Linked DNA regions of Cricetulus griseus. The protein of the gene in region 1 purifies or fractionates together with the protein of each later gene. This does not show direct contact. Links are inferred from orthologs where the notes say so. Each region holds a gene or a part of one and is shown in the gene's direction. Other genes may lie near its edges.

Region 1 (4,943 bases):
AAGCTAGTTTCCAGATTTTACTGCCTTTTTAGCCACACATTATTTTCAAATTAATAAGTAAAAACTACTGGTGCATAGTAATCATATGAAAACAAAAGAGCAAAATGAATAAGTAAGACCTCTGGGTGATCATCAGACTATACCTTGTGTGCCCTGATGAGGCCCAAAGACACCTGGTGTGCTGAGCTGGCCAGCTGGTGGTAGTGAGGGAATATTACCTGTCATAGAGACTAAAACTCTGCAAACTACATCTGACTGTTTGGAGAGATGTATTTAACCCATTTCCATCTTTGCTTGTCCTCAAAACAAAGTACTAAAGTACTTTTCTTGCTAAAGTACTTTTCTATTTGTTCACCTTGTAGGTGGGTTTCTGGATCATTTTCCTGAAAAAGTATACATTTTATAAACATAAAGATACTATGTGCATTAGCAAAGAACTCATTTTTAATTTTACCTTTTTTTATGTGTATGGGTTTTTTTTTTTTGCCTGCATGCAAGGTGTGTGTGTGCCTGGTCCAGAAAAAGGATGTCAGATCTCCCAGAACTGGATTAAGTCAGTTGTGAGCTGCAATGTGGGTGTTAGAAATTGAACCTAGGTCCTCTGCAAGAGTAGCAATTGCTTCCACCCTCTGAGCCATCTCTCAAGACCCCATTTGTATTTTCTAAAATCACATTTAATTTTGTATGTGGGTGGACTTTCGAGGTTGAGGACAATGTATAGTATTAAGTTCTGTTCTTGAGGGTCAAACTGAGGTTGTCAGGTTTAGAGGCAAACATCTTTATCACTGAGCCATCTGACCACAACCTTCTACTTTTTTTTTCTAAAGACAAGAGTCCAACTGGTTAGCCTGGAACTCACTATGTAGACAGGCTGCCTCAAACTCCCAGAGATCTGCCTATCTCTGCCTCCCAAGTGATGGGATTAAGGTGTGAACACAAGCCTGATCCAAAAAAAAAGCATTTTTAAAGATGGTAATGGATTATCACTCACTTTAAAAATAAGAACACAGGCTGGGCATTGGTGGTGCATGCCTTTAGTCCCAGCACTTATGAGGCAGAGGCAGGCGAATCTCAGTGAGTTTGAGACCGGCCTGATCTACAGAGTGAGTTCCAGGACAGGCTCTAAAGCCACAGAGAAACCCTGTCTCGAAAAACCAAAAAAAACAAAACAAAACAGCTTTAGGCCAGACAGTGTTGTCGCAAGCCTTTAACCTTAGCACTCAGTGAGGCAGAGGCAGGCAGATCTCTGAGTCTGAGCCAGCCTGGTCTACAGTGCCAGTCCCAGGAAAGTCAGGGCTACACGGGGAAACCCTACCTCCAAAAACCAAACACCACAACAAAAAGGGACACACAAGGCCTCATACCTCCAAGAGATAGATCATTTAGCTCACTTAGATTCTCTCCAGGGTGAGCACAAGGTGCGGGCCTTATCCCCTTGCATGAAGTTACTTTAAAATCTGGATGGGAGGTGACATGCTTTAAACTCAGAGTTGCAAAACGTAAAATAACAACAACAATAATAACGCACTTAGTGTAATGGCACACACTTGTAAATCCCAGCCATGAGTTCCAGGCTAGCCAGAGCTATGGTGCAAGAATCTGTCTCAAGACAACACAGGGCAGTCTTTGCTTTATGGAACTAAATCAGAATCACCAAATGACAACAGGATGTTATTTGGTCGGGGTTTGCTAAGGCAATGGGGTCAACAAGCATCCACGGGCGTTTGGTAAAGAGTTAAACCCTCGAAGGAAGAAAAAAAAAAAGTTAAGCGCTACAGTAAAAAAAAAAAAAAAAATTGGGTTGGGAGGGAAGAAAGGCTTCAGGCTTATTCTGATTGGATCTTGTTGGCAAGAAAACAGGAGGAGGGCTAGAAGCAGGGACTCATTGGTTTAGAGAACATATTTGGCTTCTTCTGATTGGTCTCAAGTTGGAAGCCGCGGCAAAAAAAAAAAAAAAAAAAGGGAGGTGCTAGTCAGTGACTCAAGTATTGACTGTCCGGGGCCCATTAATTTGTGTGTTCCGGGATGGAGTCCTATTGTCACATATGGTTTGACCATTGTCAGTTATTTCCAGCCTCTCAGCCACGTGAGACTTAGATTTTTACTTTCCCTTTAGCCCAGCTCGATTTTATCTCCAAATGCTTATTTTACTTGGAACAAGACGGCTTTTTTGTTGTTGTTAAGGGTAAGACATTAGAACCGGGAAATCATAGAAACAAATGCACGAGTATCTCTGCAGTGAGGGTCAGGCAGGAGAAGCTACTGGTTTCCCTTTTCCGTAAGAGTCCTCGCTCGTAGAGGCAGTCTTGCCCTTTGCAGAAGAGTGTCACTGCGGGCAGGAACAAAGGGTCACCTCGCCTGCCCTCTGGGCTTGGTAGCCCACGACCGAGGGCGCGCTCCCGGCTCTCGCTCTCCCTGGGAGCGGGCTCGGGGCCGGTACCCCTTCCCGCAGCCTGCCCAGCAGCGCGGGCCCCGCCAGCCCCACTTCCGCGCGACCCCGGGTGGAGGTGCGCCTGGCCTCGCAGCAGCCTCACGGCCATCCCAGGTCAGCTTCCCGGCCCCGAGCCCGCGCCGCCGGCTGCCTGCCCGCGGAGCGCGTCCTTGGTGAGGAGTCAGCAGACCTCCCCTCCGGCCCCGACCCGCGAGCCAGCTTTGGAGGGAGGGACGAAGGCAAGGGCGACTGTCCCCGGCCACCATTCCCTCCCGAGCTGGGTCTCCTCCGCTCTGCAGGCAAGCCCTCCGGAAAGCGGCCCCATGTTTCCCTGAGCTCGGCGCGGTCCGGGAAGGGTCTCTCCCGACCCTCGCCCACCGCGCCCAGGAAGCCGTGACGCCGCGGCGGCGGCGGCGGCGGCGGTGCTGCAGCAGCGGCCGGGCTCTCGCCATCTTGTGTGGAGGAGGAGCCGCGGCCGCCGCCATGCGGAGAGGCTGGGAAGGAGGGAGGGAGGGAGGCGGCGGCGGCGGCGGCGAGCGAGGGAGGGGGCAGAGGAGCAGAGTCCGCTCAGCCCGGCGGCGACTTCGGGGGCGCCGACACACCGGGCCGCGGCCGAGGTAGCGCGGGACGGCGGCGGCGCGGGCGGCGGGCGGCGCGGCGGGGGCGGGGCGGCGGGCGTAGCGGCGAGGGCCGGTGGGGGCGGGCGGAGGTTTCCGAGGAGGAAGGAGCCGCCGCCATTTTGGGAGCTTCGAGTCAACAATAAAGGACCGAGGGTGCGGAGCGGGAGTGGCCTCGGTGGTAGGACTCGGGCCCGAGCCGCGGGGCGTGGGGTGAGGCGGCGTGGTCGGGGTCGGCGGGGCCATGGAGGTCGCGGGGAGCCCCCTCGGGCGGGCGTCGGGGCGCGCTTGGGGCGGAGGCCCGAGGCCCAGGCCCGGCCGGGGGAGGACGGGCGGCCGACCGCTGAGTGGAGCGGGGGAGGCGGAGAGGAGTGAACCGAGGGATGTGGTGCGCCGCGGGGTCTGGAGGAGGAGCGGCGGAGTGCTCGGGGCTGGCCGTGGGCTAGACGGGCGAGGGGACCGAGCGGCGGCCGCGACTCGGCAGCGGTGTCGGGAGTACGAGGCAGCCCTGTGGGGGGCGGCAGGGCTGTGCTGGCCCGAGACGGGCCTGGGAGAGGACCCGCAGCGGCTGGGCTGCAAGTAGGCCCTGCAGGTCGCGGGGGACTGGGGGCTTTAGGGGAGCCTCCGGCTTAGAGGAGAGCAGAGGCTTTCCAGTTTGGGGGTTCTCTTCCGGGCTTTCTGAGGGGAGTCCCTATTGTTTCCTACCCGCGGAGCTGGTTCCGGCTCTTGTGGCGCAGATAGGATTGCAGGGCACCAAAGCCTTTTGCGTTTTTTGATCTGAGGGAGCTGGGTTTGAAGAGAGTGTGGTTGGGGGAGGGGGCGAGGAATTATTGCCCTACGGTTACCGGACTCCAGTCCTTGGCTTGACTCTTCCCTTTTCCACAGCCCCCTTTTCCTTCGGAATAACCCCACTCTAACTTCCTGCTGAGGCTTAGAGAAATTGCGCTGCATTTGCAAACAAAAGCCCTTGTTGGAGCTGATGATACTGTCTTGGGTGTGAAACTGTCAATTGCTAACCACGGTCAGGGAAGTGCTGTAATTAACTCCGCCAGGGGCTCCTCCCAACTAAGTCTACGTACCTTCGTGGGGTTTTGTGTGTGTGTGTGTGTGTGTGTGTGTGTGTGTGTGTGTGTGTGTGTGTGTGTGTGTGTTTTAAATGTAGGAATATAACTTGCAAATCGAAACTGGGAAGGGGTAGGGAAGAATATTTCTCCACTAAGACAGAAAGCTGCAGTGCAGGTGTCAGTTTAAGTAGGGAGCAGTTATCGTGGAGTCTCACTTTGGATTTAAGGCAATATAGGAGGTCTTACTGTGCATGATTGACAGAAGTCATGGTGTCATTTAGTATTCAGAGATTGCCCCTCTCATCCTCTTAGTGCTTTGCAAACAGGTAAGCCTTCCTGTTGGATGTACCTGATACTGTTGATCATAACAGGAACCTGTAAATACAGAAAGTAGCTGTTACCAGAATAAACAACTGCATTTGATAAGCAGCATTTGTGAGCAAGTTGATGCATAAAGTTTTTTTTATTCGTTTTAGCAAACGGTGTTTGCTAACAAAACTTGAAATATCTTTTGACTTTAAAATTTTGGATTTCGGATACATTGGTATATGGAAAAAATAACTAACACTGATTAAGTTAGTGTTTGGGGAGAGGGTGGAATGTAAGGGGGTTAAAAGATAAAACCAAAGGAGTTGGACTTGTGCTCTGGTCTTTGGCTTTTTTTTTTTTTGGTTTTTCTGTGGCTTTTGGAGGCTGTCCTGGAACTAGCTCTTGTAGAACAGACTGGTATGGAACTCACAGAGATCAGCCTGCCTCTGCCTCCAGAGTGTTGGGATTAAAGACTTGCGCCACCAACGCCCGGCGGCAATTCTTTAGTACTAAATTTTGAGA
Region 2 (4,185 bases), on another chromosome or scaffold:
AAGGAATGCTCAGGCCAGGCGTTGGTGGCAGGTACCTTTAATCCTAGCACTTGGGAGGCAGAGGCCGGCGATCTCTCTGAGTTTAAGGCTAGCCTGGTCTACAGAATGAGTTCCAGGACAGGCTCCATACCTACACAGAGAAGCCCTGTTTTGAAAAACAAAGAAAGAAAAAAAAAAAGAAAGAAAAAAGAAAGTGCTCTGTTAGAAGCCCCAGAAATGCAGATTTAGGGTCAGGCAACTCAGGCCACTTGGATGATTGTGGTACAATAGGGCTGGCGGAGATGGTTAGGGGAAACAGGCTTGTTAGTGTGATGACAGCAGTGAGGTAGGCAAGGGCAGGGCTTCTATCCTGCTGCCTGGGTCAGGAGCTTGCTCAGATTCTCTACTCTTCACATTCCAGCTGCCAACAACGGCTCAGCAATGGTACGTGTGATCAGTGTCAGCACTTCAGAGCGGACCCTACTCAAAGGTTTCACAGGCAGTGTGGCTGATCTGGCCTTCGCACACCTCAACTCTCCACAGCTTGCCTGCCTGGATGAGGCCGGCAATCTTTTTGTGTGGCGCTTGGCTCTGGTTAAGGGTAAAATTCAGTATCCATTCCCAGGCAAGGGACTGAAGAAGTAGAACTGGGTCTGGGGCTGCTAGGGATGTTTCTACCTATCTAAGCCTTAACTCCCTACTCAGAGAAGAGATTTTAGTCCATATCAGACAGCCAGAGGGCACACCACTGAACCACTTCCGAAGGATCATCTGGTGCCCCTTCATCCCTGAGGAAAGTGAGGACTGTTGTGAGGAAAGTAGCCCAACAGTGGCCCTGCTGCATGAAGACCGGGTGAGAGTACTGGGTCTGGTGAAGGAGGTATCAGCACTGCCATTTTTGCATGTGGGCTAAATGCCTCCCTGTACCCCTAGGCTGAGGTATGGGACCTGGATATGCTTCGCTCCAGCCATAATACCTGGCCTGTGGATGTCAGCCAAATCAAGCAGGGCTTCATTGTGGTAAAAGGCCATAGCACGGTAGGCCTACAACTGGTTGCCTCCCTACATTTCTCCTCTTTCTGTGCCCTTCATCAATTCTCCATTTTCATAACTGCCCAAGTGGCTTTACCAGTATGTTGTCAGTGGGGATGTTGAACACAAAAATTGGCTCTCGCTTGTACAGTTCACTTCTAATCTAGATGTGCCCGAAAGACTAGTTTTCTCTGTAGTGTCTACCTGCTCTATTCAGTCACATAGAAGTGTGAGTCTATTGTCAGTCAGCCCAGCTCACCACCATCGTCATTTAGGAAGGGCTCATTCCTGCCTCAGGTCAGGAGGAAAAGCACAGCTTTGGGGGGTTTTGCTTTTGTTGTTGTTTTGAGACAGTTTGTCTGTGTAGCCCTGGCTCTCCTGGAACTTTTTGGGTTCTTTGCAGTGCTTAAGTGAAGGAGCCCTCTCTCCTGATGGGACTGTTCTGGCTACTGCAAGCCATGATGGCTTTGTCAAGTTCTGGCAGATCTACATTGAAGGTCAGGATGAGCCAAGGTGAGGCAAGACCTGAAAGACCCTACTCTGTACCCCCTGTCTAGAAAGTTGAATAGTTTGTTCACTTAGGCCCCTCACCTGTCTGCTTATAGGTGTCTGCATGAATGGAAGCCTCATGATGGACGACCCCTTTCTTGCCTCTTATTCTGTGATAACCATAAAAAACAGGATCCTGAGTGAGTGAGTGGGCAGACAAAGTCAGTGGTGGGCTTGTCCATGGACTCCTACCAGGTAACCAATCAGTGCCTTGTTTCTTTTCAGGGTCCCATTCTGGAGGTTCCTCATTACTGGCGCTGACCAAAATCGGGAGCTAAAGATGTGGTGTACAGTTTCCTGGACCTGCCTGCAAACCATTCGGTAAACTAGAACTAGTGGGTTGAGGATAGGCCAGGGATATGACTTCTTTGAATTCTCAGTCTTACCTGGTCTACTTCTTGGCTTCCTAGTTTCTCCCCAGATATCTTCAGCTCAGTGAGCGTACCTCCCAGCCTCAAAGTTTGCTTGGACCTCTCGGCGGAGTATCTGATTCTTAGTGATGTGCAACGAAAGGTAGGCTGCTGTGGCCGTACACTGGGAAGGAGGGCAGGGATGCGTGACATATCCCTCAGTTCAGTTCCATTAGGAATGTGTTGCTCACACAGGTCCTCTATGTGATGGAGCTGCTACAGAACCAAGACGAAGGCCGTGCTTGCTTTAGTTCCATCTCTGAGTTCCTGCTTACCCACCCTGTGCTGAGCTTTGGCATCCAGGTTGTGAGTCGATGCCGGCTGCGGCACACTGAGGTGCTGCCTGCTGAGGAGGAGAATGACAGTCTGGGGGCTGGTGAGGTGCCCCAGGGCTGGGGTTATTTGTTGGTATGTGGGAAGTGTTGAGGCACAGGGCAAGCTACTCAATGCTCAATGATCCACACTGTCCTTTCAGAGAGTTCCCATGGAGCTAGTGCCATGGAATCTGCAGCTGGTGTGCTTATCAAGCTCTTTTGTGTGCATACTAAGTGAGTGTCAGGGAAGCCCGCATGTCCTGTCTCTTTCCCTACCCTACTGGCCCTGGCTCATTCAAGTAATCTATTCTTCCCCTTTCTTGTTCTTTAGGGCACTACAGGATGTACAGATCCGCTTCCAGCCACAACTGAACCCTGATGTGGTGGCTCCACTGCCTACCCACCCTGCTCACGAGGACTTCAGTGAGTTAGGGAATAGAAGGGATGCAGGTTATACTGACATGGTTCTGAGATCTGACTCAAGTAGCTTTCCCAACAGCGTTTGGAGAGTCCCGACCTGAACTAGGCTCTGAGGGATTAGCTTCAGCTGCTCATGGGTCTCAGCCTGACCTTCGACGCATCGTGGAACTCCCTGCACCTTCAGACTTCCTCAGTCTGAGCAGTGAGACCAAGCCTAAGTTGATGACACCTGATGCTTTCATGACGCCTACCGCTTCCCTGCAGCAGGTACTTCCTCAGTGAAGAGAGGCCTGGTAATGTTCCATTCGCATCCTTAGTGCTCATTCTCTGGATCTTCCCAGATGTCTGCGTCCCCTAGCAGTAGCAGTAGCAGCAGCAGCAGCAGCAGCAGCAGCAGTAGCAGCAGCAGCAGCAGCAGCTCTCTAACAGCTGTGTCTGCTGTGAGTAGCTCCTCAGCCATGGACCCCTCCTTGCCCAGGTAAGGCAAAGATCATGTGATAGTAGAGTCTAGTACCAGATTGTGACAAATTACAGTAGCTAATATCTCACCCTTCTGACAGTAGACCACCTGAGGAGCTGACCTTGAGTCCCAAGCTGCAGCTGGATGGCAGCCTGACAATAAACAGCAGCAGCAGCCTGCAGGCAAGCCCTCGAAGCCTCCTTCCTGGGCTGCTCTCAGGCCCAGCTGACAAATTGACTCCCAAGGGACCTGGGCAGGTGTGTATGTGGGGGTGGGGGGGGGGGGGGGAGGGTAATGAGGTACTGGGTAGCAGGTGGGGGGCAATGGGGAAGATTGGAGCTCTCTATTCCTACATATTTTTTCTGCTGATCCTGCTTGTCCTTGGGGGCTTCATATTTCTCAAAGATTATAGAGGTTTTCATGTTCCAGTGGCAAATCCTCAGCCTCCCATTCCCACCCCTCCCTTGTGAACTGTGGCCCTGCTTTTTACTTGCATATCTCTTCCCTGTTACACTGTCTCATCACTGTGATACCAGTTCCTTGTCTCCGTACCCCTTATTACTTAAGCCTCCATCTTTGGCCCTTCTCAGGTATCTACTGCTGCCTCTGCACTATCCTTGGATTTGCAAGAAGTGGAACCTCTGGGGCTACCCCAGGCCTCTCCCAGTCGCACCCGTTCCCCTGATGTGATCTCTTCAGCTTCCACTGCCCTGTCCCAGGACATCCCTGAAATTGCATCTGAGGCCTTGTCCCGTGGCTTTGGCTCCTCTGTTCCTGAGGGCCTCATTGAGCCAGACAGTATGGCCTCAGCTGCTTCAGCACTACACTTACTGTCTCCTCGGCCCAGGCAAGGCCCTGAGCTTGGCTCTCAGCTTGGCCTAGATGGAGGCCCTGGGGATGGGGATCGGCATAATACCCCCTCCCTACTGGAAGCAGCCTTGACCCAGGAGGTTGCAACCCCTGACAGTCAAGTCTGGCCTACAGCACCTGACATTACTCGTGAGACTTGTAGTACCTTGGC
Region 3 (3,360 bases), on another chromosome or scaffold:
ATGATTGGCACTGTCTGGGCTCCTTTGTGTTCAGCATCTGGGGCTGCTCTATCTGGACCGAGGCCAGGCTTAGGACTAGCCCTGTATGACTGGTTTCCTCATATTGGGCAGTGTGTCCTCAGCTGGTTAATTACAAGAATCTGACCCTAAACATAGACACCCCACCTACTCAGGGCAGCAAAAATCCTCTGGCCTGAAAACAAGTTGCACTCCAGGGTTTTGATCACAGGTCGGGTCAGCCTGGCTGCTTCCTCCAGGGATATCTTCCTCCTGGTTCTCTAGTGTCCTGGGGTCATTTGTTAAATGTCATTGAGCTCAGGGTGGCTGGTTTTCTCACCATGAGTCCCTGTGGACAGTCAGGAGACTGAGTCCCTGTGGACAGTCAGAAGGACACACTGAGAGGGTCCTGGTTGCCCTGTGGGGCAGACCTGGCTGACTTAACCAGGGTTTGGCCTGCTTGTGCCCTCTGTGTGCTCTGACTGACACCAACACTTCCATATCTGTTCAGGATTGCTTGGAGCCCATTAGTCACTCAAGTCTTGGGCCCAGCCTAAAGGTTGGGTCCCCAGGGGAGTCAGGGCCACAGAGTTTACCCCTTTTTCTGCTGGAAAGGTGATGTCTCCAGTGCCTGGGGTTTTTGTTTCATAGGCCGCAGGATCCAGCAGCCAAGCGCCAGGACCAGACACCCCAGCAATGACCAGGTGGGTCTTAGGTGTGTGTGGGAGTTGGGGCCCCATCTGTCCTCCTAATCCCTTCTCACACATGGTGCTCTCCCCAGCTCTCCTGTCTCCAGGGTCGTCTACAACGGCAAGAGAAACAGCAGCCCACGCTCTCCCACCAACAGCAGTGAGATTTTCACGCCGGCACACGAGGAGAACGTGCGTTTCATTTATGAAGGTTGGTGCTAGTGGCGCCTGTGCTCTGCCTCTGCAGTCCTCTGTGGGTGAATACCCCCCTGTCCCACTCTGTCACCTTCAGTGAAGAGGGCACCATACTCTGTGGCCTTAAGTTCTAGAACCAGCAAGACTGGTGACTGAGGGACATGTGATGACAACCCAGGAAGTGGGGGTGGGGAGAACCCCAGAAGTGTCTTGGAGTCAGTCCTCAGGCCTAGAGACTTCCTTGGGAGAGAAAGTAGCTGTGAACACAGTGTCACTCAAGTGGACAGAGGTGGTGTGGTTGGAATTGGAACAAATGTACAGAGAGGTAGGGTGGGTAGAGGTGGGGATGGTAGGGCCCTCTAAGGCATGTATGTGGCCCTCTGCAGCTCGGTGTGGCCATCACACAGAAGGCACTGGCCTGCCTGCAGGAAGAACTGTGCAGAGGGAGGACGGTTGGGGCTCAGCTGACAGCAGACTGGTAGAAACAGGGGTGTCAGGGCAGACACTCTGCATGCTTGGCCCCGCATCGGGACAGACTCTATAGATGCTCTGGTGTCTTGAACACGGCAGGGCTCTGAACCAGGTGTCCTCTTGTTGCAGCTTGGCAGGGTGTTGAGCGGGACCTGCGCAGCCAGCTGTCTGGTGGTGAGCGGGGCCTAGTGGAGGAGTATGTGGAGAAGGTTCCCAACCCCAGCCTCAAGAGTGAGTAGGGCAGCCCTGGAGGGAAGGCCCCTGCTTCCCGACTGCACTGTTGTCCTTCCCAAGGCATTTGGGTTTGGGAGCCTCCAGCAGTGGTGACTGGGTGAGGGTTCTGTTTCCAGCACCAACCAGACTGTCTCCTGACAGCCTTCAAGCCCATCGACCTGAGTGACCTGAAGCGCCGGAACACGCAGGATGCCAAGAAGTCCTAGAGTGCCTGGCGCCCCTCCCCTGGCCTCCAGAAGATCAGGGTGCACTTGATGTTGGTCTCCTCTGTTCCGGTGGCTCTGCTTCTGGGAGGGGGGAGGAGAGTGTGCTCTAGCAGGCCACAATCCCCAGAGCCAGCAGGATTGATGGCCAAGGCCCTTCCTTTCCTCTCCAGGGTCTCAAGTTGCCCCTGTCACTGGGGGAACAGGGGTCTGGCCATGTCAGCTCCTGTCCTTTCCCCTGGCCAGCTGCATCTTGGGTAGCACCTGGCCCTGCCGACCCAACCCTCTCTGCTGTTACCTGCCATGCCTCTCCTCTCGCCTTCCTGGCTACTTAAGGTCAGAAAGGAAAAAAAGGGACCTCTGTTGGAACCTTGAATGACCAGAAATTAGGACATGTGCAGTCCCACCTGCATCCAGTCTGGGTCTCTCCATGGATACTTGCTGTTCTTCTGGCCTGGACATTTGGGGAGCCCCCCCCCCCATCCCCACTGTCCACTTGCCCCTTTCTTGCCTCAGTTTCAGAGTGGAATCAGCTCTGAGCCTAGGACAGTTCTGGCTCCCTGAAGGGGCCTCTAGCAACCAGGCCTGGTCTCCTGGTACCTGTAGCCCTGTGGTCACAGCAGTGCCCTTGAGCAGGGGCACTAAGGCTGACCTTGAAGGAGTGGTGCTGCCAGGCCTGTCCTGGCTTTCTGGGGTGTACTGGGAGGATCACCAAGGCCCCCTTTTCTTGTGCCCTCTTGAATCCAAGTGTCTGTGTTGGAGACTGAGGGTCTGTGAATAAAGGCGGGTGGCACTGGAAAATGGCTTCTTAGCAGTCTGTTAGGCCCTACCCTGAAGCCCACACAGCTGCACAGGCCTGGAAACTCAGGCCCGTTGAGCCCTGGAGGTCTCTGAGCCCCTGGACCCCAGAGCAGTCTGGTGAGTGGTGAAACCAGACTCTCATGTTCTCTAAGGTGCCATTCCTCATGTGGCACTCCTTGGCCACCTTGAACTCCTTGCTGGCTTGGTCTGTGGACTCTGAGGAGCATTGGCTCCTGTGCTGTCCAGGGGCAGCTGCTGGGCCCAGGAGAGACCTGTTTGCATTTGACCTTCAGTCATGGAAACAGCCCTGGAACACTCCTGCTCCCAAGAAGATGCCAAAACGGGATTTATTTCAGGACCATGCTTTCCCAGAAGAGTATTCCGGGGCTCAAGTGGCCCCCAGAGGCATCTCCTGCGTGTGGGCTGGGCAAGACAAGTCTCCTCAGGGAGGTGCAGGCAATACAGGGCAGTGAGAAAGCTGATCTAGGTGCCAAGCCACCCCCATGACTTGGCATTGTCAGTTCCCTGGGGCATGTTGGGCTGTTTGAAGAAGCTCAGTGTCCTAGGCTGTGGGTTACCCAATCTGCTTCCCATTGTCGGGACTGGAAGGGATGTGGACAGCTCAGGGGATACCAGGACAAGGTGGGTAGGCAAACAACCCAGGATACCAGCGTGCCCACTGGGATCAGGGATCAGGCAACATCCTAACCTGAGGTCATTCTGCCTCCTAGTGGTGTTGATTTCATCCCAACTATGCCAGAGCATTTCCA
Region 4 (4,185 bases), on another chromosome or scaffold:
AACTGTTACCCAGCAAGGTTACCTCGGGGACACAGCTCAATGGTCGCCAGGCTCAGCCAAGCAGCAAGACTGCCAGCGGTACTTGAACACTGATTTCCCCTGCAGTTTCTCTGTGTCTCCAATGTCATACTCACTGGGACATGGATTTTAAAGCATTGCCCTCATCCCAGACCACACACTTTTGCAAGCAGGCCTGTGGGCAGGTAGCATGTGGTAGTGGCGCTCTGCTTTTGGTGGCTGGGTTCTGGCTTCTGCGGAGCTTGGCCTCACTTTTCCCTTTGCACCTTAGATGTAGTCCAGCCGACACCTGTGCACACCCAAGGGCAGGTGAATGACGAGAACAGAAGACCTCCACGGAGGCGGTCAGGTAACACCCAGGGCCACTGGAGTTCTGTAGCCATGAGCAGCAGGCTGTGCTTTGCTTCCTGTGCTGGGAACTTGGGGCTAAGGTGGTGCTTCAGTGAACCGTGCCATTTGTCATCAGTGTGTCTGTGAGTTGCTTTTGAATTCAAGCTGGAAATAAGTTGGTGAATTCAGCCCATGCTGTTTATTGTCTACATAGGCAATCGGCGAACAAGAAATCGTTCCAGAGGGCAAAACCGTCCAACTAATGTTAAGGAAAACACAATCAAGTTTGAAGGTGACTTTGATTTTGAGAGTGCAAATGCCCAGTTCAACCGAGAAGAGCTTGATAAAGAATTTAAGAAGAAATTGAATTTTAAAGGTCTGATTCATTTGAAAGTTATCCCCCAAGAGAATCCCTAGAGCATGTTGGGACAGAATGACTGGCATCACTCTGGAGTGAGTTGAGGTCCTGACCAGTGTGGGAATTGGAGTGCACTCTGAGGAATAGATGAGGAGGGCTGGGATGGGTGTGTGAAGCTTGTGACTTGCCATGAGAGGAAAGGATCTCTCTGGGCCTGAGGACAGCTGCAGAGTGGACCCCTAACAGGAGACTGACTGGGTAGTGTTTGTCTTTGTAGATGACAAGGCTGAGAAAGGGGAAGAGAAGGACCCAGCAGTGATGACCCAGAGTGAAGAGACTCCTGCTGAGGAAGATCTTCTGGGGCCCAACTGTTACTATGACAAGTCCAAGTCCTTCTTTGACAACATTTCTTCTGAACTCAAAACAAGGTAAGGGCCTAAGCACACTGCGGAAAGGGTAGCTGTTTTGTAAGTCTAAGAAGCATGTGACTTAAAGTATACTAACATTAAGTCCAAGCTTTGAGCTTGTTTTCTACATATTTCTACATGACAACTACAAGAGTACCAACTGGGTCTGTCCATGCCATCTAGGATGTAGTGCCAGAACCCTCTGTCTGTCCCCTAACCTGATGAGGACTTGCTGAGGTTGAGTTCTTGCATCCCCATTAGTGCTGCTCTTTCCTGCCTGATGTGCCTGCCTGTCCTCTCAAGTCCTGGAAGTCAGAGATTGTGATGTGTGTCAGCACTGTAGATGAGCACCCCTAGACTGTATGGTAAGCTTCAGAGCAGGCATAGTGTGCAACTCAGGCCATTGAAGAACAGGAAGTGAGCTGGGTAGCCTGGGCCATGCACACATACTAGGGGAGCAATCGAAGCAAGAGTGACACAAGCTAAAAGAAGAACTTAAGCCCGGCTGTATCTTGTAGGAGGGTGTGGCCAGGTCTCAGCAACCTGCACATGGCTATGCATCTGAATGGGCGAGGGATAGTGTAGACTATATTCTAAGCAAATAATCAGACAGTCAGGAGCGGCTGGTTGACCTGTACTGCCTCTTGGTGACAGTGACTGAAGATGGGCTGGTATGGAAGCTAGATGGTTCAGCTGGAGGATGGGGACCAAACGTGGCAGCAGGAAGGGCTGGGATCTAAATGCTTTTGTGTGAGCTCTTAAGGGCTTCTTTGTCACCCACTTGTGTCACTTGTTTACTCTTGGTGATAGAGGGATCTTGAGCCAAAATAGGCCTGATCTCTGCAGCATTAGGTTGAGTGTTCCCCTGCTCATCCTTCCGTTTCTGCTGTTCAAGGGACAAAGCCTATTTCAGAAACTGTAGTTGTTGCCCACTACAGTCAGATTTTGTTGTTGTTTTTCAAAAGACGGTTTCCCTGGGTAGCCCTTGCTGTCCTGGAGCTTGCTCTGTAGACCTGCCTCTGCTTCCCAAGTGTTGGGATAAAAGGTGTGCAACCCCACCGCCCAGCTTATAGTCAGATCTTAACATACCTCATCTTTTGGTTTAGTTCTAGGCGGACGACATGGGCTGAAGAGAGAAAGCTGAACACTGAGACCTTTGGGGTGTCTGGGAGGTTCCTTCGTGGCCGCAGTTCACGTGGTGGATTCCGAGGAGGTAGAGGCAATGGGACAACACGGCGCAACCCCACTTCCCACCGAGCTGGGACTGGCCGGGTGTAAGGGTGCAGTACACGTGAGTGGGAACCGTTCTGGATCCTTGGGGAAGGAGGTGGTGGGGTGAACATCCCTAGACCATACTTAGAAGTGGGGAGCAAGCCTGTCTGTTCACAGAAACAAGGGCTGGAGCGTCCTATGCAATTCCATGTAGGATGTGGAGGGCCAGTTCCCTACCTTTACTGCCTTCCGGTCCCCAGGGTGGTGAGGGAATAGATAGCTGTGTGACAGATACCTGTTGGACACTGACTTCCTGTCCTCTCACAGGGTTCTGAAGATAAGGACACAAGGATCTTGTTTACCAAGTCTGGACACCCTCATACTACTTGGCTTTGGACTCAACCTAAACTTGGATGTGGTCTGATTAGAACCACTTGTTTTGGGGGAAGTATTTGTAGGTGATCTCCTGAAGGTATCTTGACCTACATTTTCTTCTTGGTTGCACACAGCCGAATTGTAAGGTTTTGGTATTTTGCAAAAAGGTTTCTATAGGCAAAGGCTCAGTCCTCACTTTGTAATTTTTTTTTTTTTTTTTTAAACGACAGCTTTGACTCTTAAAACGGAACCAAATTTTATTTGGCACGTGTGGTGTCCAAATGTGTCTCTGCAACCCATCTGGCCCCTGGTGCTGCTGGCCTGGTACCCCATCTGCTAACAGTGGGAAGTCTCAGGATCCAGGCAGGGCCAGCACAGGGTGAACCAGTCATAGGATAGGGGTGGGAGGGTCAAGGGCAGGGAGGGGGTGGTGTTCCATGGATCATGTTGTGTAATGAACAAGTGATGTTCAGGGTTCGAGGCTGACAGAGGAGGAGTACAGTAGGAAGGGCCCCCTGAGTGTCATGTAGAGCCTGGCTTCCACAGGTACTGAGGCTTAGTGTCGAAGTCCAAGACAAGCCAATATGGTGTGACCAACCTTCCTGTCCTTGTCGCCTCTAGCCCAGGTCAGTCATTGTTAGACTCTGGCTGCACTTAAGTGTTCTCATCTACTTTGAAATGAGCCAGTTTTTTTTTTTTTTCCCCCTTCTTTCTAAGGTCACTGGCCTTATTTCCTCGTTTGTAAATAGTTGTTGTGTGTTTATTTTAAAGGTGATGGAGGGAGGGTGGGAACATAAACTTTGTTGCATGAGTAAATGGGTCAGATTTTTCTGTATGAGCATGCATCCTCTGACTGACAGGGCATTTTGTTGAAAACAAGCACCTTGATAACCAAAACCCCTTCAAATAGCTACAAAGCTTTAGTTCTGTGTTGATGAAGTCGCATTGCAAAAGCTTGGGTTTATTTTTGTAGGACTTCATAGCTGAGAATAGAACACAGCACTGGGGCTACTGTTGGGGTAATGCAAACTAAATAAACATTCAAACCTTCAAATGCTGCCTCCATCACCTGTGTCACGTCCAAGGCCTACTCAGAAGCAGGTTCTAGTCAGACCTACAGCATACCTCCGCTAGTTAAGGGTGTGGAGGTACTTACAAGGTACCATATGATATGCCAGAAAGTGACCTGATGACCATAGATGAAGTAGGCTTGCTCGTTCTCACTGGGCTATCTTGCTAGGGTGAACACCCTAGTCTAGTATGAATGAAAACTGCTATAGCTACAAAGCACTTTGCTTTGCCGTAACTGTTCCCCAAGTATTGAAGGCAGTCCTCCAGAGCAGATACATGGTCAATGGATTGGATGGCACTCTTGGTTTGTGTCAGGTTAGAGGAGCAGCCTGCAGGAGGCAGGCAGCCTTGGGATTATCAATGATGTATTCCTGCCCTTGACTAATAAAGACTTATGCAATAAAAACTTATGCA

What was found. Proteins that work in one complex are often made in the same cells at the same time.
Region 2: the proteins of Ddx6 (region 1) and Edc4 purify together in Homo sapiens (affinity purification with mass spectrometry; 4 studies listed by BioGRID and IntAct, counting the BioPlex papers as one, with this or other methods). This does not show direct contact. The link is inferred for Cricetulus griseus from reciprocal best matches to the Homo sapiens genes DDX6 and EDC4.
Region 3: the proteins of Ddx6 (region 1) and Mcrip1 purify together in Homo sapiens (affinity purification with mass spectrometry; 3 studies listed by BioGRID and IntAct, with this or other methods). This does not show direct contact. The link is inferred for Cricetulus griseus from reciprocal best matches to the Homo sapiens genes DDX6 and MCRIP1.
Region 4: the proteins of Ddx6 (region 1) and Lsm14b purify together in Homo sapiens (affinity purification with mass spectrometry; 4 studies listed by BioGRID and IntAct, counting the BioPlex papers as one, with this or other methods). This does not show direct contact. The link is inferred for Cricetulus griseus from reciprocal best matches to the Homo sapiens genes DDX6 and LSM14B.

What each region holds. Positions count from the first base shown.
Region 1 is NC_048597.1:156,289,759-156,294,701, forward strand, and holds the start of Ddx6 (probable ATP-dependent RNA helicase DDX6), read left to right. Parts: upstream 1-2,006; 5' UTR 2,007-2,086; exon of another isoform or gene 2,087-2,185; intron 2,186-2,947; exon of another isoform or gene 2,948-3,048; intron 3,049-3,118; exon of another isoform or gene 3,119-3,261; intron 3,262-4,943.
Region 2 is NC_048596.1:182,173,175-182,177,359, forward strand, and holds part of Edc4 (enhancer of mRNA-decapping protein 4), read left to right. Parts: intron 1-400; coding exon 401-590; intron 591-684; coding exon 685-832; intron 833-912; coding exon 913-1,017; intron 1,018-1,414; coding exon 1,415-1,524; intron 1,525-1,616; coding exon 1,617-1,700; intron 1,701-1,785; coding exon 1,786-1,881; intron 1,882-1,970; coding exon 1,971-2,073; intron 2,074-2,165; coding exon 2,166-2,346; intron 2,347-2,445; coding exon 2,446-2,518; intron 2,519-2,615; coding exon 2,616-2,707; intron 2,708-2,771; coding exon 2,772-2,971; intron 2,972-3,021; coding exon 3,022-3,182; intron 3,183-3,264; coding exon 3,265-3,421; intron 3,422-3,754; coding exon 3,755-4,185. UniProt on the Homo sapiens protein: In the process of mRNA degradation, seems to play a role in mRNA decapping. Component of a complex containing DCP2 and DCP1A which functions in decapping of ARE-containing mRNAs. Promotes complex formation between DCP1A and DCP2.
Region 3 is NC_048600.1:133,030,670-133,034,029, reverse strand, and holds the end of Mcrip1 (mapk-regulated corepressor-interacting protein 1), read left to right. Parts: intron 1-648; 5' UTR 649-693; coding exon 694-701; intron 702-778; coding exon 779-897; intron 898-1,481; coding exon 1,482-1,583; intron 1,584-1,727; coding exon 1,728-1,792; 3' UTR 1,793-2,590; downstream 2,591-3,360. UniProt on the Homo sapiens protein: The phosphorylation status of MCRIP1 functions as a molecular switch to regulate epithelial-mesenchymal transition. Unphosphorylated MCRIP1 binds to and inhibits the transcriptional corepressor CTBP(s).
Region 4 is NC_048599.1:1,901,741-1,905,925, reverse strand, and holds the end of Lsm14b (protein LSM14 homolog B), read left to right. Parts: coding exon 1-78; intron 79-289; coding exon 290-367; intron 368-562; coding exon 563-724; intron 725-983; coding exon 984-1,134; intron 1,135-2,219; coding exon 2,220-2,391; 3' UTR 2,392-2,404; intron 2,405-2,652; coding exon of another isoform or gene 2,653-2,660; 3' UTR 2,661-4,181; downstream 4,182-4,185. UniProt on the Homo sapiens protein: mRNA-binding protein essential for female fertility, oocyte meiotic maturation and the assembly of MARDO (mitochondria-associated ribonucleoprotein domain), a membraneless compartment that stores maternal mRNAs in oocytes.